Mus musculus: one gene and its partner. The main gene of each other region encodes a partner of the protein of the gene in region 2 in a complex. Links are inferred from orthologs where the notes say so. Each region holds a gene or a part of one and is shown on either strand. Other genes may lie near its edges.

What was found.
Region 1: the proteins of Asf1a (region 2) and Cdan1 are in contact, whole or in part, in a cryo-EM structure (PDB 9CVC), measured with the Homo sapiens proteins. The link is inferred for Mus musculus from reciprocal best matches to the Homo sapiens genes ASF1A and CDAN1. Residues at the interface, in NP_054753.1 of Homo sapiens: Gln5, Val6, Asn7, Asn8, Val9, Val10, Val11, Leu12, Asp13, Pro15, Asn20, Pro21, Phe28, Asp37, Val45, Ser47, Ala48, Glu49, Ser50, Glu51, Glu52, Asp54, Asp58, Ser59, Val60, Leu61, Val62, Gly63, Pro64, Val65; in NP_612486.2 of Homo sapiens: Arg195, Arg196, Ile197, Asn198, Thr200, Val202, Lys390, Leu391, His470, Glu471, Glu472, Pro473, Gly474, Trp475, Asp476, Lys538, Arg541, Arg544, Leu545, Gln546, Arg548, Leu549, Met550, Ala551, Pro552, Gln553, Ser554, Ser555, Arg806, Lys807.

What each region holds. Positions count from the first base shown.
Region 1 is NC_000068.7:120,724,319-120,740,169, forward strand, and holds the start of Cdan1 (codanin-1), read right to left. Parts: upstream 7,200-15,851; 5' UTR 7,184-7,199; coding exon 7,094-7,183; intron 6,875-7,093; coding exon 6,384-6,874; intron 6,188-6,383; coding exon 5,981-6,187; intron 5,782-5,980; coding exon 5,612-5,781; intron 5,485-5,611; coding exon 5,371-5,484; intron 5,292-5,370; coding exon 5,213-5,291; intron 4,716-5,212; exon of another isoform or gene 4,414-4,715; coding exon 4,293-4,413; exon of another isoform or gene 4,126-4,292; coding exon 4,016-4,125; exon of another isoform or gene 3,630-4,015; coding exon 3,540-3,629; exon of another isoform or gene 3,414-3,539; intron 3,159-3,413; exon of another isoform or gene 3,055-3,158; coding exon 2,979-3,054; exon of another isoform or gene 2,972-2,978; intron 2,478-2,971; coding exon 2,272-2,477; intron 1,980-2,271; coding exon 1,859-1,979; intron 1,750-1,858; coding exon 1,603-1,749; intron 1,444-1,602; coding exon 1,277-1,443; intron 946-1,276; coding exon 858-945; intron 664-857; coding exon 574-663; intron 409-573; coding exon 354-408; intron 149-353; and 2 more. Other genes in the region: Ttbk2 (tau-tubulin kinase 2), read right to left, coding at 15,414-15,851. UniProt on the Homo sapiens protein: May act as a negative regulator of ASF1 in chromatin assembly.
Region 2 is NC_000076.6:53,589,861-53,605,941, reverse strand, and holds the start of Asf1a (histone chaperone ASF1A), read right to left. Parts: upstream 8,982-16,081; 5' UTR 8,753-8,981; coding exon 8,644-8,752; exon of another isoform or gene 5,269-8,643; coding exon of another isoform or gene 5,261-5,268; intron 3,595-5,260; coding exon 3,479-3,594; intron 1-3,478. UniProt on the Homo sapiens protein: Histone chaperone that facilitates histone deposition and histone exchange and removal during nucleosome assembly and disassembly.

The DNA of each region.
Region 1 (15,851 bases), on a different chromosome or scaffold from region 2:
TCCTTTGCCCTCACCTGCAGCCCCTGGCTGGTCTGGAGAGGCAGGGCTCCCAGGCTGCTGGTGGTAGTGGGAGTGATTTTCCTCACAAAGCCTCCACTCCGCCCACTGCTTCCTGAAACCCAGGAAGCAAGCAGTTTCCGGAGCTCTCCTGTAGAGGAGTTGAAGTTCTTAATTCCAAAATTATCTCCCCTTCCTCCCCCAAACATCATGGCCTTTGTGGGGCAAAGACGATGAAGTAACCAGAGAGCCTAAAGACAGAACAGTATGCTGAGGAGTGAGGTCCTTTTGGGTATCCATGACAGGCCAGGCCATGGACCAGGCCATGGGCCATAAGGGGAGAAAGAGATGCTTACCAATGTAGGGGCAACAGGTATATAACAGCTGCTGGTCCACAACAGGTACACTGTCCTGGGGGAGAACAGACCAATGCTGGATGGGGAAGGCAGGCAGTCTCCCTTCCCTCCCGAATGTGCAGAAATAGAAGTCTAGAAGATGGACCGTCTTAAGTCTTCCCTAGCTGGTCTCTTGCTGGGTCCTTATCTATTCAGCTCATTTATCTGGTGTGACACTCACCAAACCATGCTCTGAAGCAGTTGTAGTCACCTCAAAGGCATCTACCTGACCATCTTCTAGAAAGAATAAGTCCTCAGGAACTGTAGGTATCTGGTAAGAGAGGAAGGTAGTGAGAACACTACTGGCACTCTAAGATTTGCCATGGTTTCTAAATCTGTTAGGGTCCCGGGTCAAGCAAGTTTCTTCTGAAGCCATAGCAATACCCATCCCTCTCAGAACCTCCCTCTTCTGTTCTCAGACTCTAAAGCTCTGTAGTCTGCCATGGCAGCCATCCATCCTCCTACCTGGAAAAGCCAGCCCAGGACAGCAAGCAGCAGCAGCTTATTCAGGAAGCACATCTCTCCTTCATTCTCCTTTGATAAGACCAAACTCCTAAAAGGTAAACGGAGGCCGTGAGCAGACTTTGTCTACCAAGGACAGAAGGCAGTAAATAAAAGCTATTACTAGGAAGGGAGTTCTCAAAAGCAGACCTAAATCACACTACTGTTGAGAAGACCAACAGGATCCTAGTGAGACTTGCACTTTATATTCTTCTTGACTAGACCATAAGATAAATGGGAGGATGGATCATGGGAATGAAAGACAATTGTCACAATTCTGCCTCTCCTGAGGCTGCCATAGCTGTGGAACCACACAGAAGCACAGACTTCTAGGCCCACTTTATAAATAGCAAGGCTATGCAAATAAGTCAAGTTCTACTCACCGATGTAAGCGCAGCAGGAGAGTAAAGACACTCCGGTAATAGTCCAGCAAGGGGACAATGTGGTCAGCAAAAGAGAGGAATTCTACCAGCCAGGGCACAGTGAGCACTGCCCGACGGGCCCACAATCCCTGCTGCAGCAAAGCCCGTATATCCAGAACAGGAGGGACCTGGGAAAGCCAGGATTCTGTCAGTGAGCAGGCTCTTAAAAGAGGCTGGCTAACACCCTCTGACCTGCCAGGGTACTAGACTAGCCAAGGAAACCAGCCATCCTCCACATTTCTCTGGTCTACACGGCTCTTCCTTACCCAGATCTTCCACATGCTCACCTGGCTCCTGAGGGCCAGAATAGAGTCCTGAAGCTCACGGGTCGGGGGTGGTTCATGTCCCCGGTATGGCAGGAAAGCCACAAAGCCCAGAAATTTAGCCAAAAGTCTAAGACTAAGAAGCACTACAGCAAATTGCCTCCGTTCACCCTGCATGAGGAATCAAGGGAAACAATGTTCTTTGCATAAGTCTTCTGGAACACACACATCCTTTCCCTCCTACATCAGACCCCATTACCCACTCATTCTGTTTTCTGACCTGCCAGTCCATGTCTGACTCCCCATCTTCATCACCAGGCTCGTGCTGAGGCAGGCGAAGGCCATTGAGCTCCCGAATCTTTAAACTTAAACTATCCATGAGGTGCTGATTAAAATGGAAGCTTGAGTGGAAAAAAGCAAAAGACAAAACAAAAAAGGCACTGAAATTGGTAAAAAAAAGAACCAGCGTTTAGAGGAGATGCCCCATATAACGATTCCTAAGAAGGATGAAGCTAAAGGACGATGACATTACCTATGTGGGCAAAAGAATGAGACAAAAGAGGAACTCTAAATGGGAGGAACCAGACATATCCAAACCTGAGGCTCAGGCAAAAGAAAATGGCTTGCCCATTGGGGAGAGCAAATCTTTCTTGGCCTCTGTCTCTCTCCCTGTGAGATACAGGAGTTCCTTACCTGCTGGCACTCATGATGAAATCCCTGAAGAAGCCTTGACAGCCTGGGAATGTGGGGGGTGGGCAGGGCCCTCCACTGCTCTGAGGGGCTATCAGCCGTTCTTGGAGCTGCCGCAACCGTCCTAGTTTGTCAGCTCCTAGCATATTCAATACATCTGGAGCTTCACCCAGAACAGATCCCCCAGCACCGCCAGGGCTCTGACACATCTGAGATGTCCGAAGGGAGGAGAGAGATGAAAAACCCGTAAGAGAAAAACTAACAAAATACTGAGAAAGTAGGCTTGGGATATATAGCTTGGTGGAGAACACCTGCCCAGTATGAGCAAGACCCTGGGTCTGAAAAAAAGCAATGAGCACTCCAGAGGGTTTGTCTTCTAATTTGGCAGATGAGGAGATAAAAACTGCAAGGCAAGCACTGTTTGCCTCAGGTCACTAGAACAAGGGTTTGAGGATACCCTGACTACTAAGCTCTCTTTGTACCGTAGCCAAGTCAAGGAAGGGATGGTGGTGAGAGGCTACAGAAGGGTATGGAGTCCAGGGCAGGCCAGAGAAGTCAGAGAACACATGCCCGCCAAATTTGAACTATCTCCCAAAGAGAAGGCGTTCTTTTAAATTTTGTAGCCAGAATCAACTAGGTTGTCTATCTGATCCAGAGTGCCAACCTTTATTTATCTGCCCACATCTTTTGGCTACCACTGCAGTTCTTACCTGGAGAAGCTGTTTTTGGAAAAGGCGGACAAAGTGGCTGTGGCTGCAGGCTGCTGAAAGTTGACCCATCATGGCTCTGAGGAGAAAGAGACACAGTGTAGAAAGGAGACAAGGGATGCATTCCGGCTATTTACCAAAGAGGTGAACAAACTCTTTGCCAGAAAGCCCACCCAGGAGAAGGTAAGAAACATTCATTTCCTTCACCACCAAGATTTCTCCAGACTAGATAGACAGACTTAACCCACCCAGAAATGCCCTCTCAGATCTTCAGGCCATGCTCATTGTCAGTGAACGTCATTATCAACGTAAGGGAGTAAGGACAGGATACTTGTTTCATCTATGAGCTCTGTCCTTTCCCAAGCTTCTGCCTTTACAGAACAAGTGCATGGCATCCCTGGGATTGAGAAGCTAGAAAGGAAATCCCTTTTGTTCTAGGTAGGTCGAGTTACCAATAACTAGAGACGGAGGAAGAGATGGGTGAAGGAGGGAAACCCTTGCCAACCAACACCCTAAATATTCCTGGGTTGCTGCTTACTGTCAGAGCAAGGACGGAGCACCCACCTGATCCTGCTACCCAAGCCCTTCTCAAAATCCCAGCTGGGTTCCTCGTGATGATCTTCCCACTCTCGAAGTACCTCATAGAACACATCCCTGGAAGATATGGAAGCTTCATCAGTTGCCTCCCAGTTGCTTACATCCACTTCCCAGAGCACTTTCCCTTGCTTGGAAGGTTTAAGATAAGCCTGCCCACAGTGCCAGTCTTTAACCCCATAGCTCTCTACACGATGGTAATGTTACAGACCCAGCAGCAGCACATCACAGGCATCTGTGGACAGGGAAAGCTGACCCTAAGATGGTCGGCTAAGCTCAGGGATTCAGGTCTGTGGACATGAAACAGAATGAAGCCAACAGGCTTTATGATGACTGCCAGCAAAGGGTCTGAAGAGCAGTCACCCACCCCTTTCAGTGCCTAGCTGCTAATTCGAGGAAAGGAGAGATTGTTTATGCCCTCCTCATCAGGGCCCTTTTCTTTTCACCTCTGTTTTTTAAAAGTATGAAAGGCTCGATCACTGGAGAAGTTGGCACGATTGTCAGTTTCTGGCTGGAAGGAGACAGCCTGAGCAGAGGGTGGTATCACGAGGGAGACCTAAAACATGGCAACAACATTAGGAAACAAGACCTGTTGGATCACGTTTACAAGACTTTACTCCTTATTCCTGCCCAGAGTCTGCCCACCTGACAGCACCATGGAAACTGTCTGAATCTGCAGACCATCTAGGCTACTCAGTGAGGCTACCTAGCGAGGGTAACTACCTTGGCAACACTGCCTTCATAAGCAGCCCGAAGGCGGCCCTGCAGAGCAGGTGAGAAGCACAGCAGCCGCTCATTCTCAGCCAGCAGCTTTAAGGTCCCTTTATCCAGGTAGGAGAGAACCCTGCAAAGAGAGGGCACACATGACTGAGACCGGCACACAGGCTGCAGATAGAAAGTACATCTGAGGCATTAGACAGGTGTTTAAGCCTAGGTATGTATGGCAAGGCCATGGCTAACAATCAAGACGATGAAGGTAAAAGGTGAAGGAAGACATGAGACTTCATGAAGCTGAGAGCAAGACAGTAGGATAGAATATTAGCCATGAACATTAAGGTCAGCTGCCATGTGTTTGTTGTCCCTATTTTTTTTTCTTGTGGCATACAGGGCTCTCTATATTATGAGCAAGCACTCCAGTGATCTATATACTTAGACTCTTTTGTATATATTATTTGGGACTACAGCTTAATATTTTTCAAAGGCTGGCCTTCAATTTTCTGCAGCCTGGGCAGGTCTTTAAACTTGCAATCCTTGCTTAGCACCAAACCCAGCTATTTATTTTTTTAGAGGATAAACTCAGCCTTGATACAAAATCAAATGATACAGATGGGCCAGGAGTTGTAGTGCATGCCCTCATTTCCAGAACTTGAGACGCACAGGCTGGAAAATCTATGCAGGTTTAAGGCCAGCTTGTTCTGCTTAGGGGATTCAAGGCCAGCAAGGGCTACATAGTATCACCCTGACTCAAAAACTAAACCAAACAAAACAAAACAAAAAAACCAAACCAACCACAATCTCCTCCCCCTCAACAAAAGGTTACAGGTAAGGTCTAGGGCAACTGTATCTATTAAGCAAAGGCATGCACATCCCACACGGCTAGAAACAGACATATAAGACTCAAATGTCACAGCTAGAAAACTCACTGAAACTGATGCTCCAAAACTTGCACTGCAAAGAAGACGCAATCATGGATGCTACGAAACAGGGGAGTGTCCAGGGAATCTAGGTCAACAACAAACCGTTAGTTAAGAACTGTCCCACCTGCAAACATCATTTCTCAAAGTGAGACTTGCTTACTGACCTAGGGCACCCTGACTTGATTCCAGGTCACTGTCCTTGGTGGCCACCATTCTCCGAGCAGTAAGGAGCTGAAGGACGAAGAAAAGCTCCAAGAAAAGGTTTGGTACTAGGTTCTCTGTTTATAAAGAGAAATGCCATACCATCGTACCACTGACAAGCAGGCCAAGGCTCTGCGCCTCCTCTACTCTCTTACTCTGTAGTTTGCAAGCATATCCACCGCAGCCCCCTTTGCGCTCACTCACCAGCAATGCAGGAGGAGTAGATAAGGGCTACCAGCTCCAGGCGCTGTCGAGAAGACACTCTGGCCGGGTCGGCAGGCTCTGCGGTGAGGTTTCCTGTCCTGCTGGGAACCGGAGACCCCGATTCTGGGATGGGAGAGGCTGGGGTAGGTGACTGCTGGAGTTGCTTGGTGCTATGTGAACAGGAGGAGATGTCATGATTAATCAGCCTGGCTTTACCAGCGACATTCACATTCAGGTTCTGCCAGAGAAGACATCAACAGCCCAAGAAGCAAACCCAGAATCCCGAAGGGAGAAATCAAGTTCAGGAAAAATCCCTGCAAGTCCCGCATAAGGAGGAAGTTGACATCCCAGGTGGCGGCAAAGCCATACCGCGCCTTCCTGAGCATCTCCCGCTCCTCTTGCAGACTTCTGCACCCTGGGGGAAGGCCAAGGCCCCAAGGGCTAGTGTCCAGGGTTGAGGGTTGGGAACTGGGGACACAGCTGATTGGGGGTGAGGTGAAGCAGGTCTTGGGCTTGGACAGTGACCGCTCTTCGCTCACCGGAGTTGGGTTGATCCTTCGAGAAGGCTTCGTTCTGCTGAGAGTAGTCACAGTTTTTTGTTTTTTTCCAATTTTCTATCTTCAAGCATCATTCCATCCATAACAGTTGGGCCCCTTTTAAACCCTCCCCCATTGTGGTTTCTTCACCCTCAACCTTCTAACCATCGCGCACTCTACTGTGGGGCACCAAGCTCGGCTTTAGCGAACATCTTGCAATAAGGACCGATTCTCACCCTGCAGAGCCCGGAGGAACGGTGCCTACGGGAGGGAACTCCTCCAAGTTGCTGAGGTTTGGCGGATCAGAGAGCGACAGTCTGGGGCTGCCAGGGCTGCCTGAGCCCTTAGGCTTCCGGCCTCCGGCCCAAGGCGGGCTCTCGCCACTCGCCCCCTCCTCCGCGGCCCCGGAGCCCCGACCGCCTCGTTCGCGGGACGGCCCCGGTCCCGGACCCCGCCTGCGGCCCGCACGGCGGGCCAGAGGTGCCTCGGCGGCGGCGCTGAGGGGCTCGGCTGCAGGGAAAAGCTGGCTGCGCGCCCCACGGCCACCCCGTGCCGGGGCCCCCTGCCTCGCTGGCAAGGCTGCCGAGGCGACTGGGGTCTTGGCGGGGGTTGAGGGGCCCTGCGGGAGGACCCGGCTGCTCTGCTCCCTCAGGAAGTTCAGCAGGAACGGCACGAATTCCTTCCGCAGAGGCCGAAGTGCGCTCAGAGCGGCCACCTCGGAGCTATCCTGAGGAAGAAGCAGAGGTCGCGGGGCGAGAGCGTCAGCTGACAGCGCGGGCCGTCAGCGGCTGAGGCCGCAGGGTGGGCGGCCCGGCAGCGGCGCGCAGAGGAGCGAGCGCCCTTGGCGCGGGCCGTCAGGCAGGGCAGGCTGGGAGAAGGGACTGAAGCATCATCCCCCGCGGGAAGCACATTCCAGGCAGGCTTGAGGGCGTGTCCGCACTGTTACCTCCGAACTCGGGGTGCTGCGCGCGATCCACCGCACGGCGGCTGCGACCGGCACCTCTTCGCGCAGCAGCGACTCTAAAACGGCCGCCATCCCTGTGCAGGCGCTCTGAGGCTACTGAGCAGGCGCACTCGCGCCACGGGCAGCCGGGAGGGGCGGAGCCGGCGACCGGGATCGACCGTTGGACGACGGGGCGGGTCCTTGAGGGGTGGGGCTCTGGCGGCCCGGGAAGATCTGCCCAGCCAGCCAGGCCTGCAGGGCGGCGAGGCGCCTTTCTCTGATTTCCTGGCCCCTGGAGCAATGTGATAAGATGAACTGCCTGAGGAGACCCGGGTCTGAAAGAGGGACCAGACAGGAAAAGTGACCAACTCTAAGAGACCAGCCTATGAGACCAGACACCTGTCATAAGCACAGCCTTAGACCATGACTGTAGAGCTTTTTGAGTCACTCCCTCCTCAACCAAAATAAAGTGAGTAACCTTGTGTTTTGACCTTTTTGTTTTTTCTGAGACATGATTTCTCTGTATAGCCTGGCCACTCTGTAGACCAGGCTGACTTCGACCTCATAGATTATCTTGCCTTTGCTTCCGGAGTGCTGGGATTAAAGGGGTGCGCCCGGCCTACTTAGCTCCCCACCCCTTCCCCTCTTTTACTCAAAAGGCTGACTCTTTACCATTGGCCAACTTTTTCATCAACTGACAATTGAGGACAGAGTTCATGCTGAGGCATGTTATAAAATCATCAAATGTCCATCAGACTTGTATTGAATCCCTTACGTATTGTATTAAAGAGTTTACAGCAGGGGAATATCTCAACTTCTTTTACTTGAGAGGTCAGGATTCATGATTAGCTTCTGGAAGAGTATGGCATTCCTAGACACACTCCCCCGACCCTCCTCCACACACACTGGCTGGTTAACCCTCTGGCTACACTTCCTGTCAGGTCCCTTATTTTGAAAAATATAATAGGCTTTCGGATGATACTCCTTAGTAAAAGGAAAGAAAAAAAAATCAAGATATAGGATCTATAGTTTCCTCCAAAACAAAGTAGCAGTGTATTGGCCCTGTGTTCCTCTCATTCAAAGGAAGACCACTTGGTGATAGGCAGTAGATGGAGCAGGAATCCCTCTAGCATACTGCCAAGGAGAAGAAAAGGGAGTTTTGAAAACTTAATTCTGTGCTGGATTTAGTGGATGCTTGCAATCCCAGTGCTTGGCAGGCAGAGACAGAAGAATATCAAAGTCAGCTTGAACACGCACGTCAGACCCCTGAACCCTGGTGTTCACCTAGCGTCTAAGTTAGCCAAAATGGCCTTCTCTTGGTTGTCTGTCACTTCTGTAACACTTTAGTAGTTTAGGAAATAGTTTTCACTTTTTGAAATCCAAACCATCACACAAATAGCACTAAAGTTTGCATGCGGACTGAATGTTTTATTACTAGATTATAAAAATAAAATACAAAATAATTTTAAAACAGAACTTAAAACACTGTACAAAGCTTTAATATGGTACAAATGAGAAAATTAAATAAATAATTACACTTTTATGTACAGATGGCCTATACAAAAGCACTGCATGTTTTTCAATACTCTATGCCCATGGTTGCCTGAGCAAAAACACATAAAGGGAAGATGCTTGAAGGAGAAAGGATACAATGTAACACATTGAAAAGAACTTCAAAGAGCAATTTCGCATCTCATTAAGAGGAGGACAGCAGAACATTGACTTATTTCTCTTGTTCAGTAAGAGAATTCGGGTTATGACTAAGTTTGATAACATTTGCCAGTAATAATTTATGAACTCATTATATCTAATACAAAATGAGATGTGCCTCCTTTTCTGAAAAACTTGGAATCTGTAAATAAATGATCTGATTAAATAGATGCCATTTAGGAAAGGTGTCAAAGGAGAATGAGAACTGTGCATCAGGGAACAGCAAAGTGGCTCGAGCCCAGGCCATCAGATCTGTCTACTCATCCAATCCAACAATCCAATCTCTCTTACCTAAGATTTTGTTTCTGCCTTTCCCCTCCCCCCTATTTTGAGACAGGGTCTCATAGAGCCTAAGTTAGCTTCGAACTCATTATTCAGCTCATTATGTATGACCTTCAACTCCTGTTCCTGCCCTTACCTCTTCAATGTTGAGATTATAGGCATATACCACCAAAATCTAGGAAATCCAATCCAATTTCAAAGTCCTGAGTGGCCCAGTGCTACATTTCCTTTGTCTTAAAAAGAAGATCTATTTCCTATATTTTAATTTCTTAATTATCTTAGAGAACTAATTTCATTGATTTATAGTTTAATAAAACTGTTTTTAGCCAGGCATGGTGGCTCACACCTTTTTATCTCAGCACTCTGGAGGCAGAGGTAGGTAGGTCTGGAGTTTAAGGCCAGCCTAATCTACAGAGCAAGTTCCAGCTCAGGGCTACACTGAAAAAACCCCCATCTCAAAAAATCAAACCAAACCAAACTGTTTTGAATAAAGTCTTAAGGTTTCTTCTCAGCAAACTCCCTAAAATAATAAATCACAGCCCAAACTCTGTATAGCCTTGTTTACTACTGTAAGTGAGCAAAAAACACCTGGCACATTCCAACTTTGATACAAGTGAATTTTTGATGTTTTCAATTATGTTTTATGGGAGTTTTAAAAAGTATCATATGGCAAGAATAGTCTACATAAAAACTTGGTTTAGGTGAATAATCATGTATACAGTACAAAATAATTTTAAATTATCAAGAGATAAATCCCACTGTTAATGTAAAATAACGTTATTAGCAAATTCTGTAATTCTATTAGTCTCAGAGATCTGCGTCATTCATACTGTTGTTGGTCTAGAAATTCTAGTTGAAGGTACCAGGAGATGTGGTCAGCATCACCTTGAGCCTACAGTGTAGATACTATCACCTCCAATTAGAGAAGGCAGAAACTTGTTACATTTTAAGGGCAATGAAAGGACTTTTGTTAAGGGCTCCTTAAAACCAAGGATTGAGCCCAGTATAGGAAATCATCTCATCACCTTGAACTTGCCTTAGCTGTCATGTTTATTAGTACTTATATAGGAGCAAATACTGAAATCATGACTCAGTAAATCTTTGCTATTTAGCATCTTGAGATATTGTGAAACCAAGAGATGAATTTGTCACTAATTTTCTGATGCAAATCCTCTCCCAAGAGGAAGAACTTACCTGAAAACATATATATTTTACCCATATTTTCCTCTAAGTGAATAGGGGTTCTTTTTGTTCCATACTTGGGAGTTACCTAGGAATTTCCCACTTCCTGCAGTTATGGAAAGCAATGCTGCATAACAAGATCCTTAAGGCTCCAAGATTGTGTAAAATTTCTGGAGAAATGGCCAAAATAAGGCAAATACCCAATAATATGAGGACTTTCTACTTTACTTACACATTCTCAGAGTGCACACTCGAGTTTTGTAAAGTTTTGGTGAGGATAGGAAGTGGGGCATGTTTACCAGACACCTCCCACTGACTGGGTTGTGGAACTGCCTCTAGTTTTCTTCTATGAGTTAAGGTCTAATATGCATCACTGTGGCTTCTGAGTTGGGACTCTAAGTGTTGTTGGCATGTAAGGACCATCAGAGTCGTCACATGCTGTAATCTTATAATGCATTTGGATTAAAACATAAAAAGCTATTCTGCAAATATGTTGTCTATAGAACCAAATTCAAGAAATTTAAGCAGTACAGTTGGTTACAAATGTCCTATTACCTCAGTGACAGAGGTGTTGGTTACAAATGTCCTATTACGTCAGTGACAGAGGTGCTAGATGACCTCCCCCCAGAAACAACATTCCAAAGCCATAAATAGGCACAATGTAAAACAGTGAATGCAAACCATGAACATGACAGAAGTAATTATACACAAATGAGAGCTGTGTACTCAACATATAATATATACATACATGTATGAAAACTTAAAAAAATAATTAAAAAAATAATGTTTTTGTTTTTGTTTTTTGGGAGAGGATCCCACACTACAGCCCAGGTGGACTTGCAATCACTATGAAGCAGAGGTTGGCTTCAGACTCTCTTCCATCTTTCCACCTCAGTCCCTCAAGTATTGGTTAGAAACATTAGCCATCACACCTAGCTAACAAGTTTTAAAATATGAGAAAATTTGATCTCCAAGGCTAAATCTAGATTATCTATAAGTATATTTTAAGATAACATTTTCAAGATGCATCTTTTTCCTAAAGCCACTAAATTGTGGATCCTGTTTCTCCTATCACCAATTCCTAATGTTAGATTAGAAATGTAAAATTTTCTGCCCTTGAGGAAAAGGCACCTGTTTGTCAAGGTTATTATTGGGTGTAGAAAATCTCATTACTTAGCTAGCTATGCAGTCTAGGTTTATAAAACATGCAGCAATGTACACCTTTGCTTTTGTACAATGGATGCAATCACAGAAACAGAAGCCTAAGACTCTGTGACTGAGAGGGAGTCTGGTACTTGCTGCAGCCCCTCAAGTTCCCGCAGTGTCCAGGAGTAAAATGAAACACCGCATCAGCATACAGTGCTTCAGTGGGCTGGAGCAAATAATGTGCAGTGGATAATGACGTCAAGGACTCTTTGACCGTTTGTTACTTTTTTTTTTAGGCCTTGATTAACTTGTTGCAACTTTTACCAAAGATATTCATTGCAAAGCATGCAACTAAAGAACTAAAAGTGGCTGTGCTCCTGTTTGCAAGGCCAGCCTGTGTGCAGAGCTGGAGAGAAGAGCCTAGATTTTTTTTGTTTTTTGGTGTTTTGTTTGTTTGTGTTTTTGTTTTTGTAGCCAGGGTTTCTCTGTATAACCCTGGCTGTCCTGGAACTCACTTTGTAGACCAGGCTGGCCTCTAACTCAGAAATCCACCTGCCTCTGCCTCTAGAGTGCTGGGATTAAAGGCGTGCGCCACCACGCCCAGCTTGCCTAGATGTTTTAAGATCTCTATCTTAATGCTGAATCAGATAGGATACAATTCCCTCCTGTTTTCACTATCCATTAAAGTCAAGATATCTTTAGGATGTGCAAGATTACGAGGTATGATTTTAATATTTCAAGCAATTCACAAAGCCTACGGGTCAGTAGTATAATTTGGGGGCAACATTACCTAAAATTAGGAACTAAGTGTTCATTCTTTGCTCCACTGAAATAAGCACAGGACAGGCCTGAGTTAGTAACCTGTGTAGATAGAAGCCAGGAGGTACTTGTCTCCCAAAAGATAATTTCTGTCACACCCTACTTCTATTATGGCTACAGTCATGTTCTTTACCTTATTTGGATGATTTGTGACTGAAATATGAAATATGCCATCAATAAAAACCTCAAAGAACTGAAAACCCAAACCAAACCGAAAGCTTGATTCTCTAGATCATACTCCTGAGTGAAGAGCTGGCTTAAGACTGCCAATTTTTATTTTTAACCTGAAAGAAATGTAACATGTAAAAGCACAAACTATGTTTTTTAATCTTTTGTTTGTTTTTTTAAGACAGGGTTTCTCTGTGTGGCCCTAGCTGTGCTGGAACTCACTCTGTAGACCAGGCTGGCCTCAAACTCAGAAATCCACTTGCCCCTTCCTCCAGAGTGCTAGGATCAAAGTGTGTGCCATCACACCAGGTTCTACTTTTTCATCTCTGTATCAGGACAGCACTTAATAATAAATGTAACTACTGATACATACGATATAATTAATTAGTCCATTTCCTTTTCTTCAGAGCAGAAACATCTTTGGTTGGTTCTTTTCCCTACATACAAAATAAAACATTCTCACATAATGAGGCGTTTTGTCTCTGGATTTTGATGAGTTTGTGAACGGCATGCAGAAAAGGAGGCAACACACTGAAAGACAGACAGAAAGCATCTCTGTCAGCATGACTGCCAGCAGAGAAATTCACAAAGAAAAAGGCTGGGCCCTGTTAGCTTTCCCAGTTACTATTAGCACATGTTTGACTAGAGAGGACAGCAAGAAAGCCGGCTACTTTTAGCATCATTTAGCTAATGTAACAGAAAGAATTTTAGTTACCCTACATCCCATCCCCACTTCCCTTCAAAAAAGTGACATGGAAGAGGCAACTTTCAGGAAATGTTTTAAAAAACAGTTGATGTCAGCTGCATAATTATAATGCCCATCTATCCACTCTAACCATATGGACAGAACTATGTGGCTAACATGAGTAATCTTTGAGCCTGTATTACAAGCATATCTTGTTAAAATTTTCCCCTATTAAAATACTTTTTAAGTGAAAATTAAGTACCTTACACCTTGGCTTGGTAACAAGTGCCAGCTGCTTCAGTGTGCACCCGGAAGGCAGGACTACTCTTAGGGACCACATGCCAAGAACATGTGTTCAGAAAATGAAGACAGGCAATGCCCAAGTGTACATGAAGCACACAATAGAAAAGGAATTTTATCATCTATAATCTTGAAATTACAAATGCAGAATGAGAAAAAAATGGATTTATATAAGCATATGTCTCTTCTATATTTATAAATATTTATATAATTTACCATGAAAGACATGCAAGCAGTACTGCAGTAACTGTTATACAATATAATACATAAGGATCAGTCTCCAGTATTACAGCTGTAATAGATAAACAACAAATGCGCCTTACCTACTGCACTGCTCTCAAGTGCCTGAACCTGGACAGAAATTAAGATTCCACACTATGCCCCATTTCTCATGGGAGACCTTATGTCTCAGTGTAGTGTCCCAAGTTTGAAAACGCTCAACACAGAACAAGCTAAGTTAGTTTAGTGCCTGGGCAGCTGGGATGCACCCCTGGAACATGCTCACTTAGTGAAGAAACACGTTTCCTTTTCCACCCCACTCCTGAAATTCAACAGTTACAGGTTTGGCAGCAATACAAAGTCAAAAAGTAGATGTTTGTTAGAAGGCAGATTTCAACAGCAGGCAGATCAATTTCCCTGACCTCAATAAGATTTTTATACACCCACAGAGCATCAAATAGTCCACTTAAAAAGTCTGGTGTCTTTAATTTGCCTGATTTCTGCTAGTAAGAGAGTAAGATTAGAACGAATATGATCATCCTTACAGCTTTATAAACTGAAATTTAGATGTCAACAGCAGCTATAAACAAGAATTCAGGCCTGAGTTTCTTCCCCTTGGACTGTGCTGGACTGACGCTTCCTGTGCAGAGGCACGGACTCCTCATGTGCTTCCTACCTGCCCTAGCTAGTTATACTTACGTCTTCTTATAAATGTGGAAGTCAGGCTAAGAAGCCCAAGCATTAAACAACACAAGAACCAGGTAATAAAAACATTGAAAGAAAACTATTTAGTCTAAATTTATTTCCCAGATATTCATTCCTTATTGGCTAAATGTATAAAATACAAAATCTGATTGTAAGCCTTAGTAACATATTTTCTTTCTAAATCTCTAAAAGTATAAGCCACATTCCGAAGTGTTATTCTTTCCTAGATCACCCTGAAGGCTGACACTAGAAAGAACCCAGGGAAGCTGTCTCCTCCGCAGGCTCCTGAGAGGAGGAAGTGCAGTCAGGGGAAAGGTGCTTGTACCTTTGAAAGCCATTGTCCCACTCTGTCCCTCTCCAGATACTTTTGCCCAAAATAGCTCTAGATAGACATTTCTTTCATTTTTGAGATAAAAATATAGGAGTTAAGAATAAGAACTGTTGCTCAAACGAAAATAGCAAGGTTTGACTAAATAAAGGTAATTGGATTATCCTATGCTGATGAAAACACACATTAGGGTGTATTGTTAAAAATAAGAGGTAAAAACATTAATTTTAAAAAATGTAAAATTCAGGGAAGATACTAGGAATGAGTGGAAAGAAAGGTGTAGATTCACTAAATAAACACACAAACCAAATATACCCAGGTAATGGTTTCCTGGCAACAAGCTTCTTATATTTGAATGTCTGCGCAATGACTCTCCAAGGTTAGGAAGTTTTAAATAAAAATATCAAACAATTTTGCTATATACTTTTTGAGTAGAAGATTAACAAATTAGGCAAAATCACCTAAAATCCCATTCTATTTCCTATCCTCAATTTTCTGTTTCAAAGGCAGCTATAAACAAGAGCTCAGGCCTGAGTTTCTTCCCCTCGGACACTGCTGGACTGACGCTTCCTGTGCAGAGGCACGGACTCCTGATGTGCTTCTACCTGCCCTAGCTAGTTATACTTAGGTCTTCTTATAAAGAACTGATCATGTTACTTTCTTTTGCAAGAGAAGATCAACACTGATTGTTTGAAACAGACAGTACAGGGACACACATGCATCAGGTCTAGGAGGAAGAAGATCTCACGCCTTTCCCAGAGATGTAGCCTGCTCACTTCCTATCTGCTGAGTTTACTGGCTGGCTTACTCTTCCCTGGGGGAGTTTTAGAGCTGGTTGAGTGGTGGTGGAGGCTGCCAGATCCTTTTGGGCCATTCTTGCTGGGTTTGCAATGCTCCTGTTGGCAGGACCTCCTGGAGGACGATGATCCTGAGTGGCTAGGGGGTGACTTGCTTCTCCCCAGATGTGGGGAAGAACTCCTCTGGTCATGGTGGGGCCGTCCAGCCCTAGATGGTGAGGAACTAGATGTTCGAGGCAAGGATGAGCTTCGAGGAGAGGCACTGGGACTCCTTCGAGGTACAACTGGACTCTTGGGTGGTGTTTTTGGATTGTGAGGAGATCCTGGGCTCTTGCATTGGGTAGTACTCCGGGATTTCTGAGATCCATTTTGAAGAATTTGGGCCAGGCGAGAGAAAAGGTCTGAGTCAGAGTTACTACT
Region 2 (16,081 bases):
AGATTCACTCTGTTCTGCCTCCTGGGTGCTAGAGTTACAAGTGGACACCACCACACCCACCCAACAAATGAACTTTGGTGGGATTTGGTTTATACCTAGAAAATAGTTTATACCTAGAAAATGTCTCTCTGTAGTAGTACTGGTTACTTGCAGGTATAATTATAGCTAAAGAAAGAAAGAACTCTGGCTTTACTGTATGTGATTAATTACATACTATTCATTATAAATTCCATTCTTTATAACCAAGTCAATCATTGTAGTGATCCTAACCTTTTACAGTCCTAATTTTCAGTCCCAAATTACTATGTACCAAATTAAGTTTCATAGTCTATTCTAGTAAGTGTTTATTCTATTAGTTCCCTCTTCTATCCAAGACACGTAAGTTCTTCAGTAGTAACCCCTCTAAACTGACAGCAGAGGTCAGCAACGTAGCTCAGTTCAATCCCAGCACCAGCAACTAAGAAGTACATATAAATAAACAGTGAATACAAATGACAATGGATCTGAAAAACTCTACAGCAAAGTTTGAAAAAAAAATGAAAATCCTATTGTATTTGAGCCATATACATTGTGGATATTCAGTGCAGTCAAAAGACTGTTTCAGTAGATTACACCAAGGACCATGGTTTAAATCATAATGAACCTAAAGGAATTAAGAAAGTGAAACAACAAAACTAGAAGACATTAAAAATGCCAGAAAAGGCTAGGGTTGTGTCCACAGTCCTCATCAGCAAGACTTCTGAGACAGACAGACAGACAGTGATGACTGAGGCATGCAAGTACAACCTGAAGCATAACTCTGCATAGCAAACAAAATAAATTCTAGCATCATATCCTTTGCATATGAACACTTCAGTAAATGCTTTTAGCTTGGAAACTTTTAAGACATGTTTATTGTATATATAGCACATAGCTGACACTAAAAGCCATAAAAATCAACCAAGACTATCAGTCACCTTCAGCTTTTCTTATTCTCTTCCCTTGTCACTCTCAACATCTCATGTCTAAAGGTTGGGTGTTCCTTCATCTGTTAAGCAGAACGCTGCTAACTTCCATTTCTTACTCCTCTCGGTTTCCAGCCTGCTGTTTATATCGCTGCCATCTAAACATCATCCATTTCTAGCCCTTTGGCAGGTTTTAAACCTTAGATGCTTTTTAGTTCCTTAGGCTCGTTACAGCTTTGTAATTCTCGTGTGTGTGTGTGTGTGTGTGTGTGTGTGAAGCATAAGTTCTGTAAGATGAGCTGGAAATCTTTCAAGTCTCTGTGCTTCAATGTCTTGACATCTTCATCAAACCGACTTTCCAAACAAAGTCCTTTCTGATTCACAAGGTAGCAGTTTCCCTTTTTATGTGTTTGTCATTTGACACAAATTTCCTAATCTATGTCTTAATCTAAATGCAGCTATAAGAATTTATTATTTTAGAAATTTCTCATTACTCACTTCCTGTCCTGATGAGGGTATATGATCCCTGTGGACCAAGTGTGGGGACATAGACCCTGCTGTAGTATATACAGTATGTCCTACAAATCAACATCGCAGGGTGACTTTCAGGGACACTCATATACCCAGAAATGGGTGAGGATGGAGGAGTTCAGTTGCTACCACCCAGTGAACTAGTAGGAAGTTCATCTATGTTAAAAATGTTGTTTGCCAAAGGATTTAATTGAGCAAATTTGGGTGAAGAAACGTGCATAGCTCTCAGGTTATTAAGGCTGGAAAAGTGATGGGGATTACTTTTGTTGACCCAATCCAATCAGTACTGGGCAGGTGTCTGGACATCTCTGCTAGTCTTAGACCCATTCCTAAGGCAGTCAGTCATATTTGATTATACTACGCAAAATGGCAGACCAGAAAAATAAGACACTTTGCTCATAACACAAAACAAAAACTGCCTTAGTTTCATTTTGTTAGTAACTGTCAGACTTTGAAAACTTCACAGTCTAACACATGACCTAAATCACAGTGCTTTCTCTGTTCTTTTTGGTAACATTTACACTGATAGCAACAAAAAGCTGCATACTTCTATGATATTTACCTCACAGCATTGCAAGTCAAAAAGGCTCACTTTAAAACCATGATGTACAACATTTTACAGCAATACAAAGTGTCTATATATGGCTACACATTAAGCTGACCTTCTTTTACTACATCATGAATTACCAGTGCAGTATGTAGTCCCCAGGATTTTGGGTGCAAGGGAATCCTGGCTCTTTACATAATGAGAATAAATTAATAGTTTAATTAATTATAGATATAGCTAGTTTTGTCAGTAATTTGCTGATTGCCTTATTCCTCATAATACTCATATGCGGTAGGTCATTAGTGGGGTCCTGGATCTTAGTGAGCAGAGGCATCAGGCTGCCTGAGACTGCGGGACTTCCTTAGGCAGTCTGTGTTGCTACGGCTTTCACAAGGTTACGCACACACACAACTCAGTTTGATGGCACTTTTAATTAAAGTATTGAAGCCTTTAAATTACTATAGCTGAGCCTTTCTTAGCCATTTGTTTATATATACTAAATAATTTGGGGTTTCCTGCTAGAAAACACTCAGGCCCAGATTCAGTTCTGTATTTAAAAGGCAGCATCTCTAACAATGTTCTCTTAAGCAAATCTTCACCCATTCTAATGGGATTATTTCAAAGAAACTATGCATTGAAATTGTCCTGGGTGTGAAGGGAGTAAGAGAGGCCAAGCACAGGAAGAAGTAGATTTTTCTCCTGGATTATGCCTGCAGTGAGATTTGGTTAAGCAGAAATACCTCTAACAAAGATTAATGGTTCTTTAAAAGCTAGCTCATTACTCCCTGCAGTATTATAAATATCTCCCTTAAGAAGCATGGATAATTGAAAAAAGTCACTAGTTTTATATAGCAACTTAATAAAGCAGGAGAAATAACACTCTTTGACAGAAGATAATGTCTAAAGCTTGGGCACAGACCTAAACACTGTCAGAGGTATCTGAGAACATAATTTATACTATGAGTATTTCAACTCACAAGTTCTAACAGGGTAATGGATTTGTCACAGTGGTCCTCTATAAAAACCTAGATAAGAAGCTTTGATGAAGTATTAGACCGTCATTCCAATGGCTCAAGTCACATGTCTCTATCTGCTAATGTTGCAGTTACTATACTAAAGTGAGGTTGTTGCTATCATATCAGCAGATGCATGCATGTTACTGACCAGCATTTGAATACATGTTTGGGGATGCTTTCATCTTGAGAGACAGTCCATAGGACAAACCCAACCTTGTATGCACAGTATACTTGTAGTCTGTCTAGTTCCTGAAAGTAAACTCAATATCCCTGCATATAATCGTAAATATAAATCCTTTATGATAGACACTGCCTGAAATGACAGCAGACTAAAAGTGAGAATAGATAAAGCAATTAGTTAACACAGAAAGGGTAGGGCTCTGAGGTAGTTTAGTCTATTAGAAACATCCTTGTCATATTTATCTGAAGATTAATCTTACCTGAAACACAAACATATGCCTTCCTGCAGGAACGGGACCCACTAAAACAGAGTCTAAAACTTGATCGTATTCTTCACTTTCTGCAGAGCCCACATAGATTATTTTCCACTCCAAGTCTAGGGTAAAAGAACGAAAATCATTATTTCATAGCAGCAATTATATATTAACATAATAAAGTCCCTTTTGTTGACCACTTAACTGCTAAATGGCTTCTTACCAGAGAGATATAGAAATATTACTTATATATTTCTCACCAGAATTCATATTTCATCCCAATAACTTCTCCAAATGTTTCATAAAGCACTGGTCCCTGGAGTGTTCCTCACAAGTAAAACATGAACAAAAATTGGGGAAACATTAAATGTTTGCTATAGGTACTCATAAAGCGAAGTTCTCAGAGACCTCCTTTAGGAAAGAACACTGGGAGCGATAATCCCATCGCCCAGGCTCACGGACTATGCAATCCCCCAGCCTCTTTTTGAGCTCCATTTTTAACTTCACCCCTGTAAAAAAGCTGCTCTATGAAACAGAAATCATCCCAGAATCTAAAGTGGAAAAATCATTAGCAAACCTTCCTTGTGGTTCAGAAGTTTCAGCTCATCTCCTGACATAAATGTGTCAATCTGTTACCTGACCACTCTTACTAACTAACAGACTAACTGTGTACTTACCACTGTATTAAACACCATGCCAACTGGATCCCAACCAGACACAGTGGTGCTCTTCCTGCCTGGTATTCCTTTCTGCCATACATTCTTAAAACTAGAGGAAACCAAGCTCCTATACCTCTTCTTATAGCAGAGTACTTACATAGCAAACAGGCAAGGACATGATACACTCAAGCACAACCTAAGACTTGCCTTGTAATTCAACCTAGATTTCATTAAGTACCCTTTTAGAAAACTCTATGGAGAACTGAGAAGATTAAAACCATTGCTCTTTGAAGGAATGTAGGAATCTGCTCTTTAAACATAGGAAGACGATGACAGACAATCTCCTATAGTGTGATCTATGCTTAGCTTCGTTATAGAAAGACTATACTAAGCACTCCCAAGGGGCTGAATCTCTAGTTCACTCTGGAGAACGTGCACAAATCCTTCCTGTGTAGCTGTGTAGGTATCTCCTAGATCTGTAAGAGTACCGGCACTCCTTATACTATACGTGTAAAATCAAACTTGTTAAATTGCAACTTCCCTGTTTATTTGTAATGTTTTAAAAGCCAGTAGTTACTATTATGTCCTGGCTCCATCATAGACTAAGGCTATTTGTATTTTCAGCTTTCAGTACATTTCAGATTCAGGGTTCTACACCTGGGATCTCATCAGGTCACTTATTTGCTGTTGGATCTAGGAAGAAACTATAATATTTTCTGACTAGAAAGACCAGCAAAAACAGCCACAAATGTAAAAAACCTGCTTGGTGTGTTCAAGAATAAGCCAAGAAGCTGGGATTTTGGAACAGAGAGAAGCTACCCAATCCTGAGGCTGGGGTGGGGAGCAACACACTCACATCATACCAGGCCTGATGACCACCATTAAGGATTCTGGCTTAACACTCAGCAGCACCATTTTGTTGTTGTGCTGGGCATCAAACCCAGAACTTTCACACATTCTAGGCACCCACTTTAATCACCAAGCTACAGCCCCAGCTGTGACCCTGTAAAAGTTCCTCAAGGTGTGGTGACTATCCAACCATAGAGTTATTTTGTTTCTACTTCATAACTACAATTTTGCTATTGTTATGTAGCAAATGAACTGTAACATAAACATCTGTGTTTTTCAGATGTGTAGTCTTCTGGGAGTCATAACCCACAAGTTGAGAAACACTGCCCTGAAGGTTTTGAGCAGAGAAGTACAGGAATCCTCCTTTTATCTTTAAGGATAATTTTACTTACTGTGCTTGTGTAAGCTGTATGAGGGCAGGAGAACAAGAGATTGTTTCAACTATTCAGTACAGAAAGCATGATGGTGTGAGTGAGTTATGGTGGCCATAGGGCTGGTGTAAAGCATTCACATCCTAGATAAAGTTTGGAAATAGAAGCAGCAGTAGCCACTTTGGGGGGAGAGGGTCTGTGTAAAGAACAAAATAATCAGGAGTTAGTTTTATACGTGTCTAAGATGCCTATTAGGTGTTTAATTATAAACACAAAAAGGTCAAATTTTTAAAAATTGAACTTTGGCAATAAACCATAATGACAAGGATAGGAATGGAACCAAGGAGTGAAATGAGCCTTCCTCAACACTAAAGTTGGAAGGCAAGCCAGGAAGAGGATGAATCATTAAAGTCGTTTAGAAAGCTAGCACCCAATGAAGGAAGTGACCCAAAAGCCAAATGAAGACACAGCTAAGGAGAGGGTATATGAAAGCTACTGACTTATCTAAAGTAAACATTTTATCATACAGTTAGAATTATTCAAGCACATATATATTTTGTGTTTGTGTGTGCACACTAATAAAAACAAGAAAGCTGAGACTGGGCGAAGGTAAGTAATCTAAAATTCAGTTAAAGATGGGTTGCTGCTACTCAAAAATCATGGCTTTTAAGCCTTGCTCTTTCTAGCTTTCAAGTAATAGGTTTCAAGAGTATAGAAGAGAGTGGATAAGGACAGGTAATGGAGAGTGGGTTAATCCAGCCTTACTAAGAACAAGGGACGGGCACAGGTTGAGTCTGAGTGCGATGCCATGCTTATTTATCAATGTGTTTAGAAGCCGGTTTCTCTTTTCTATGCCTCTGTATTCTATGAGTTATGGTGAAGGGCTGTGGCTCTACAAGAGTTTCAATCTGAAAATTATCCATTTATTTTAAAAGTTAACTTTTCCATTTACTCATGGTAATCCCAGCCAGAAAATATCTCCATATGTGGTGGAAGGGATACTACCAAGGAAATTTTAAGTTAATTACATTGTTGGGAAAATCTGTGGTCTAGTAGAAAATATACAGTCTTTGCAATCAGAACAGGCCTGAACTTTCAAAGTATAAAGCCACAGGGTCAATTTTGATGCACTGCAAGTATTAAGCCTTAGAAACTGAAGGAGGGCCAATTAAACGTATAGGCTTAGTGATCAAGCATAATAAAGCCCCTACTTAAAGTCTCTTTAAAAATGTTTAAGTGTGTTTCTGTATATATGGGTACTGATGTGGAGGTCAGAGGACAACTGGTTGGAGTCAGTTCTCTCCTTCTACCAAGTGGATTCCTGACAATAAGGAGGCTAATTGGTACGTTGGAGGTAGACACAAATCATAAACTCAAAATTACCTGTAGAGGAATTTCTACGTTGATCAGTAACTTAACAAGTCACAGTACAACAAAAGTATGGGCCCTAGAAACGAGCTTCTGCAGGGTAAATCAACGCCCATCTCCTTGCTCCACAGAGCCTCTAGATGGAGTAGACAGGAATGGCACCTTTGTCAAGGGTTCCTCTGCAGCTTTGGAATGACTCAGCTTAAAATACCTTAAAATAATGGTGCGCTGGTTTTGAATTGTACTAGAGGAAGGCATATTCTTGACTTGAGTAATAACACTGTTGTGAAAGGATCCCTGTTTAACATGGAACCCTGTTTGGTTTCTGTGGGTGGCTGGTTTCGAACTATCCAGTGTAATGACTCTGTAACAATATCCTAGAGCCTATCTTCCTCATACAATGTGGACCTAAAATGGAAGCCATCATATGAGAAACACCTGTAGTGTAAAGAACTTCTAATGCCTCGAACACTGCACTGAGTTAGGATGGACTCAGCCATGATCTTACTTTATATTTGATCATTTGTATATAAATTGGCAGTTTGAAAAAGAAAATTAAAATCAGTGTTGGGGTTGGAAATAGGTCTGATGTGGAAATGCTGTTACATTTCAAATGGAAAACACCCTTACACTTACATTAATCATCACAGTCTATTCAGAGACTACTATATTTTAATGTTTAGTCAATCTTCAAAATATGTCCCACTCACTAAATGTATGCACGTTATAATTTACATACGTATTAAAAACAGCAGGGTACGTTTTAAGTGATGGTTAGCCAAAGGAGTGAAGAGAAGGGGCTGTGACTTCCTTTTTACAATTTTTAAAGGTTTATTGCAATGGTTTTTATAATTAAAGTTAACATTCTACATGAAGTACATTGAAGAGATTATAAACTTTTAAATTAAAAGAGAAATTCTTTTCGTCATGATTAGGATAATACAAGGCATTTTGTCGAAATACTTTCAAGTCCCAAGATGTCCTCCTAGTTAACTAAAATTTAACACCAATGAAGTTAAACTTTTTGTTTCAAATGTTGAAAATGAAGCATTGATTTTAATAAAATCTAAGAAAAGCGTTAAGAAGCCATATTTTAGCTTTCTAAGTTCTGTATTACCTCACTATTTCGCATTTTTTAAACCGTAAAATGTACTTCAGAAAGGATTTTGCCTTCTATCTCCCAGCTAACGTTTGCATTTTCTCCATCTGCTTGGACGTGGAGTTATTTTAATTGCTTCTTCTTCACACGTTCTGGAGAAAGTCTTTCAGACTTTCTAAACGCCAGAGAAGTGCCTGGAATTGGTTAAGCACCCTGCTTCTGCTCTAGGGTGCCATGGAACTTCCCAGCCCCTCACCATTTCTCTCCGAGAGGTCTCTGTCCCCGGGGAGAGGCGGCGCACAGCATCCCGGGCGCCCGCGGAGAGCACGGCCGCCCCCCGGGAGCCAGGCGCCGAGGGGCCGAGCCCAGCGCCCGCCTTCCGCGCTGGTTGGTGGAGGGAGCCGGAGAGCGGCGCGAGGACAGCCTCGGCGGGGCTCGGGCGGGAAGGCGCGGGCCCGCTCGCCCCCGGCGGTCCGGAGCAGGCGTCGTGCCGCCGGGTAAGATGGCTCCGCTTCCCACCGGCCCAGCTTGCTCCCCACCGGGCCGTGGGGCCCTGGGGCCGCCGAGGCCGCACGACCCCCCGCCAGCGCCGCGCGAGCCGGGGGCCGCCGAGCGCCGCCCGCCGCAGACAAAGCTGACAACATGGCTCCCTCCGCCCGGCAAGTTGCTCGCAAGTTGCGGCGCGGCCGGCGTCCCTCAACTTCAAGTTTCCCTCGCATGGCCGCCCTCCCGCCGGCCGCCGGCCGCGGCCCACCCCGCGCGAGGCCGGGCCGGGAAACTTTAACGTCCGCCGCCGCAACTGACAGCCCGGCGCCACTCGCTCACCTTCAGACAGGTCCTCGATGCACTCGAAGGTGATCTCGAACTGGAACGGGTTGTAGAAAGGCGACGGGTTATCCAGCACCACTACATTGTTCACCTGAACCTTTGCCATATTTTGAAGAAAACACAAACAATGGGGCCGGGGCTGGCGGCACCACCGAGTCCCGCGCGCGGCCGCTCCGAGAGCGCAGACCCCCGCCCCGGCGCGGCGCGGCCCGACGTCGTGCAGCTGCGACTTGAGAAACTTTTTTTTCCTTTTTATTTACACGGCGGCACTCCACGGTGTTTTGCAGCTTTCCTATTTCACTAAACTACAGCCCATTCTGCCCTGATAACTAGCAGCGTTGCCCGCGATTGGCTGCCCCCGAGCTCTGACCCTCCTCCTCCAGCGAGGGCCGCGGCGGCGAGCAAGATGGGCTCCCGCTCGCAGAACGGACGGGAAACTTTCACTGCGGCTCCACCTGCTGGTGCGGACCAGGACAAAGGCGCAGAACAAAGTGAGTGGAATAGGGGCTGGGAGGCCCGCGCGGAGGCCGCCGGCGGCGGGGGAGGGGCGACGCAGGCCCCGCCCCCGCCCGGCGGGGCCGCGCCACACGTCGGGCGTGGCCGCGGCGGGACGGAGGGGGCGGGACCCGTGGGGTGGGCGGGGCCGGCGGTGGAAGCAGGAGGGCGCGAGGCGGCCCCGTGTGTGTGCGCAGCATGGGCCTTGGGGTTTTTCGGGTTTTCTTCCAGCCTTTAACGCTTCCCCCACCAGTGCCGGCGGCTTTGCTGGCTCTGCTGGATTTAGCAGATAAGGTGTGCTTTGCAGCCCTTGTCAGGCCCAACTAGCTGTCTGTGCTTCTCGCAATCGTAATGGTAGAGAATAGGGAGAAGGGCTGGTTGCAGTGGGAATAAATTGCATTTTTATAGCCCATGTCAGCTCGAAAGGAGCAAGCCATTTTGGAATTCAAGTTCTTGGCCACGACAGTGCGGTGAAATAGATACAAAATGAGGGCGGGGTGATTTTACACACACACACGCAGGCTAGAAAAAAAATATGCGATCTTCAGCTGCATGTTGGATTTCTTCCCATTTAATAACTGAAAAGATGTAAAACAAAACAAAAAAAAAGAAATAAAAGGGGGAAAACGTGATCAGTTACAGCGAGGCTTCTGTTGTTGGGGGGGCACAGAGAAAGAAGTCAAAAGTCGAGAAAATGGAAGTGTCTGAAGGCCAAAGGACAACAAATGTATTTTTGGTGGAATATGAGAAAGGAGAAAGCACAGATAACATGCCATTTGCTCTTCAAGGCATTTATAACAAACATTCATAAGTGAAAAAGTGCAGCACACCAATTCTGAGGAGACCTTCCATGCCTGTGACGCCTGTGAGACCATTTCAAGGCTGACTGGAGGAAAAGTTGCTTGTTTATGGTACTTAGCCACTGTGGGTAGACTAGGAAACAGGAAACGGAAACCTAACACCTTTGTGAATGTGAACTGATTCTTTTTACTGTGGAGGTGTTACTCATAAACCATTGGGTTCTTTTCTTTTTCCTTATAAATGAAACTACTAAACTATTCAATAAAATCCGGAGTGAAAATTATGTCTTAGTATTAATCTGCAAGTGAAGTTTCTGCTAGTGTGCAGAATTTAATTAATCTTCCTTGGACAGGTTGAGACTCAACTGGATTGCTGTGGATGATCTGTCCTTGTCCGAAGACCTTTAGTTATCATGAAGCAGGGCCTTCCATGTTTAAGGAGATTAAAGTGGGGAGAGAGCCACTTTTATTGTCAGTACGCTGGGCAATCGGTGTCCATCAGTTCAGTCACCATTGTTTTTGTGCATCAGAGTAAAAGTCACACTGTGGTAGTAGGCAAGATGACCATGGCTGGTAAATAATACACGTAGCTCTTATTAACCCTAGTTTTACATGATGTTAGCCAAGATAAAGGAAGCAGTGAGGTTGTAATATGCAGTTATGGCAGGCACCCTGGAGATTCCAACTGACTTATCAATGTGCTCTTATGTGCTTTTTACATGCTTCTTGCTGTTAGACCAGAAGTGTGTTATAAACTATAGAAGACTCATTTCTAGTGGATGTACATACACACACACACACACACACAAGCATGTATGTATCAGGGATTGCTTGTTTGTTTGTTTTTTGTCTCTTGTTTTTTTTTTTTAAGTGCCGTATATAACAGTATTTGGAGGAGGGATCTTCCCATTTTCCAAGCGCTATCTCCAGCACTCTCATCTTGCCCCTCTATGTTATTACTGCTCATCAAAAAATTTTAAGAAAAAACTTGGTCCAATAATTTTTTCACCATGAACAATATTTTTGGAAACCTACCCCTTCCTCCCCAAAAACCCCTTAGAAGCACTGTACCATGTTTCTAAGTAAACTGACAGCTTTAGGAACGATGATGTATACCACGCTGACTCAGTCAGAACAATGTCTAGGTGACTCCCCAGCAGAAAACCATACTATAACTAATGGGTCAAAACGGAGAGGCTCCACAGAAGGATCAGAGACCTCAAATCACTACTTTCTACTTTGGGTACTACCTGAATTTGATTTGTTAGATTTTTAAAAATGAAAACCATGAATGAACTGCCAAGGGCTGTTGTTACAGGCTAAATTGTGTTCACATCAAATTCATATATTGAAGCTTTATCATCTCAAGGAAAGGACAAGAAGGCCATTCACAAGCCAAGGGACTGGCTCTGAGGAAACAAGGCAAAGCTAGCAGCCCTGTAAGGTCTAGGGTCCAGTATGGTGAGGGAATAAATTTCTATTTAAACTTGTCAATGATATTTTGTTAGCTCTAGAAAACACACAAAGTATGTTTTTTCTCTCATAGCAAATTAAAGTTGTTGAGTATTTAAGCATGTTTTATCCTCATATTCCTGAGTTATCACGTGCCTTATGAGCCATGAGATGCAGTGGGGAGGATGCTGTGAGGATGGGGGATGCTATGCACAGCCATTCTCCAGTGCAAGAATCTGCTGACAGTCATCTATGTTGGTTGTTATTGGAGTAGACAAGCAGTGTGTTTCCATGGATCCGAAAATCCTCTGCAGTGGGCTTCTAGGACTGAAACATTTACTTAAATTGAGGTTTCACAGAGACCAATGAAAACACAAGTTAAATTCAGTAGAATTTAAATGGGCTGGGGAAAATTTCCCGGGAGCTGGGAGTGAAATGGAGTCTCAGTCCTGCCTGCCACAAAAGGTAACATAGAAACAGTGGAGTAACTTTTACAAAGTCCACAGCATGGAATGGAGGTCAGAGGATGCTCTGGTGTAGTAGGCCTTCTTCCTCCTGTTTGTGGGTGCTGGGGGTGGAACCCAGGCTGGCTGAGAGAGAGAGAGAGAGAGAGAGAGAGGGGGGGGGCCTTCTCCCTCTGAGCCATTCCCAGACCCCTAAGCTTGCTCCTGTTGCACTTTTCTCATATTATTTTACACAGTCACTGTGTTGTCTAGGAAGGTCATTTGTATTATTACTCCCGTCTTTAGAAACAAAACTGGGCAAAAGTGTTGCTTTTCTGTTTGCTGGTGTTGCTTTTGCTGTTTTCTGTTTGTTTTTGTTTTGCAGTGTTAAGAATTGAATCCAGGTTCTCACATATTAGGTAGGCAAGTTACATCCCAAGCCAGGCACACTGAACTGTGATCTTTATTAGCATAAAGTCCCCCCCTTTTTTACACTAACAGAACATCAAAACTTGGTGACTTGTTTTAAACATTATTTTCCCTATAAAACTGTCAAATGTGCAGATTTGCTGGAGTGATTTTTCCAGATATTTCTAACTGAAATCTTAGTGATTTTAATTTGTTGCATATATACAGAAAGCATCTATTATGTTAAATCTCTGTGCTGAGTGCTAACATAAAGATAAAATAGATAAAGTGTATAAAGAGCTTGTGGCCCAGTAGCAAAGGTAGCTTATATGATCAAAAGTACAACTGAAAGAGAAGGATTTAAGCTCCATTTTAACCAGCGACATTAAAATGAGCAAAAGAAATTGTCTTTACTCTTTGTAAAGAACGTTTAAATAGCAACACAATACACTAGAATGGTTAGAAGGGTAAGGCATTACCACCCAGCATAGCAACTGAGGGCTGCTACTTAGGAACTGGTTACATTCACTGTTGTCATAGTTACAACTCTGTCTTCACCATAGCAGGTAACATATAAAGTATTCCTTATGTATAGAAAACTAGAGACATAAAATTTCCTTGGGGGATAAGCATAGGCCAGCCAGCACTGTGTTAATGACTTCATTAATGAATCCCTAAAGAACAAAACTGTGAACGTGGATGGCCAAGGCGGTGCCAGAGATGGGGCTTGATCCAGCCAGAGCAAAGCCAGAATCTCCCCATGGAGGCCTTTCAGACAGACAGACAGCCCTGAAAGTGGGGGAAGGATAGAGCCGCTCATCCTACCCTGAATCCTTAGATATTTTAGAACTGATGCCAAATTAAAAAGCCCATCCCCTGTCTTTTCATGAGTTTCACTTAAAGGTAATTATATTTTTTAAGTGTGTGTGTATACATAAAATTCAGCACGTGTAAGAGGACAACCAGAAAGGGCTCCTCTCCCTGTCCAGCCTGGGTCCTGGAGACCACTTTTAGGTGGTCAGGCTTGCCTGGCCAGCCCTTTGCCCAGTGAGCCCACTGGCCAGACCTTTAGATTCCCTAAGGCTTCCATGTGTTACAGTGTACATTTTCCTCATCGTGTGCTCCATAGCATTAATGAATGCTTTACAGTTTTGATGTCCATTCCAATCTACCAGTCCATTAAAATTTTGTTAAAGATGCCAGCTATATATCTAATACCTATGTGTAGCTGAACTACTGAGAAATGCCCGTCAGATCACTACAATTCTGCTTGCTGACCCAGCATAGTTATGTGAATGTTGAAATGTCTTATTGTTATTGAAGTGTTTTAACCAGTACATTCATGGAAATGTCTAAAAATTATTCTGTGTTTCCTAGTTCTGATTTCTTAAGCGTTCCTCCTCCTTTGAAAGCAGGTCCTTCTAACCTCTTTAGCTCAGTCTTCCTTGCAACATGTCTTCTTTCGTTTTTACATTTCTTTGCCTCTCCCATTCATCAGAGGTTTTCCTCTTTACCTGTTAGTAGGAGGTGGGGAGCGAAGTGATGAATACAGAACTCAGATCTTTAAAACATCTCTAGGCTAGACCACTGCTTGTACAAAGTCATTGCTAAACAAAGCAGCTTTTTCTAGTTGGTTGCTATAGAGACAAATGACATTAAATGGAGTCAGATTTGGCATGGTCTAAGCAAGTAGGCTTTGTAAGGCTGGGGCCTTTTAGAGACAGAAACTAGGAAGGATATGAAGGGGACCAGTTTCACAAATGAGCTGACAGGTAATTAATTGGTAGATGTTGTCCAAGCATCCTTACGTACAATTATATAGTATTTTTTTTAAAAAAAACAGCTTAACTCATAGCATATTCTCACATTTAAGGTATCTAACTTAATAGCTTACTAAGGATATTCAGGATCATGCAATCATCACCACAACTTTAGAGTATTTTCATCATCTCATGAAGGTACTTTGAGGCCTGCCATGATAGCTTACACCTGTCATCCCAGCACCAGAAGACTAAGGCAGGAATGAACGTAATGCCAGCCTGATCTACATAGAGAGTTCCAGGCTGACGAAAGCAACATGTAAGCTCTGTCTTGTAAATAAAATATAAATACACGTATATGTGGATGTAGAATATGTGAATATATATCTTTCTACTCTTTAACTACCACTCCCAGTGTTGCATCTGTAGATTTGTCTTTCCTGAACAGCATCTTTCAAACATGTCTTTGATATTTTCATCCACAGTATAGCACTTATTAACACTTAATTTGTTTTTGTTACCCAATAACTTTGTACTTTCTGGATCGAACTCATGTCCTTCCCTGTCAGTTGATGACGTGTGAGTTGCTTCCACCTTTGTCTATTATGTATACTACTGCTAGGAATATTTGTGTGCAGAACTTTTGCATATGGCTGTTTTCATTTCTCTACATTTGTGCTTAGGGATAAACCTGGACACAAATGGTAAGTAACTCCCTTTGAGGAGCCACCAGATTGTTTACAAAAATATCTGCACCTTTTACCATTTCTATTAGACACAAGTGTTCCAAATTCTCATTACCTCTACACTTGTTATTATGTGTTCTTGAGGAGTCTGGAGACATGGCTTAGCAGTTACAAGTACTAACTGCTCTATTAGAGGGCTTAAGTTCAGTTCCCAGCCCCACCCACGGCAGTTCACAGCCCTCTAGAACTCCAGTCCCAAGTGATGCAACAAAACCCTCCTAGGGTCTCTATGGGCATCAGGCACATGCCTGGTGCACAGGCATATGTGCTTGTAGACCACTAATAACATAATAAAAGGTGTAAAATATAGTTTTGACTGTAGCCATGTGATCTATAAAGTATATTTCATTGAGATTTTGCTTTGCATTTCCTCAGTAGCTAAAGCTGTTGTTATGTTTCATTTACATGTTGGACATTTCTATATCTTCTGAGGAGGCTATTTTCAGATCTTTTCCCATTTTCAGTTGGCTCATTTTCTTTTTAGTTTGGAGTTGTGCTCTTTCCATCATTGAAGTCAAGTCTTTTCAATACATGGATTTAAATTTCTGTGAGTTGGTATTTTTGGTGGTGTCTTTTCCAGAATAAACCTGTGTGTGTGTGTGTGTGTGTGTGTATTAACTGTTTTATCTGCTTTAGGTTTTTGTTTTGGCTTGTGCTTGTAATTTCTCAAAATTATTACCATTCCAAGATCAAAGATTTACAATGTTTTTTTTTTTTTTCCCTACTTCTTGTTAGAAATGGTGGTGGCTCAGGGCACCCCAAGACCAATATCTCAGCACAAATATTTATTTACCCCACAGGGACAAAGGGCAGGGGGATAAGAAAAAAATGACAGGAAGTAGAGGACAAGGCAGAAGAGAAAAGGAAGAGGGGAGAGGCAGGAAGGAATATTTGGCCTGAGGGACTGCCTCTGGATAGAGAGGAGAGGGCATTGGTGATTTATAACAGGCAAATCCCATGTTAGGTTGAGGTGTTTGATTTTAATTAGGCAGGTTAATTAGGTGAACCAAAGGGGCCTTTGATTGCAAGACTTTGATAGCTGGGCCTTGGTAGTCTGTCTTTGGAAGAGGAAGTGGCCAAAGGTAAGATAGGCCCTGGTGGCTAGTTTAGGACTGTAATTTAGCAGGGTTTTTTGCTTGCTTGCTTTTTAGCAAGTCAGAGGGAGAAAGGCAAGGACTGCTGGGGTTATGTTTGCCAAGCTTAGGCTGGCTAGAGTCCCTTCACTTGTATGTAGTTTTAGCACTTTACAATTATGTCTTTGATTTCACTTTGAATTATTTTTGTATGCTATGCGAAGCATGAAATCCAAAATCATTTTTTGCAAGGGGGTG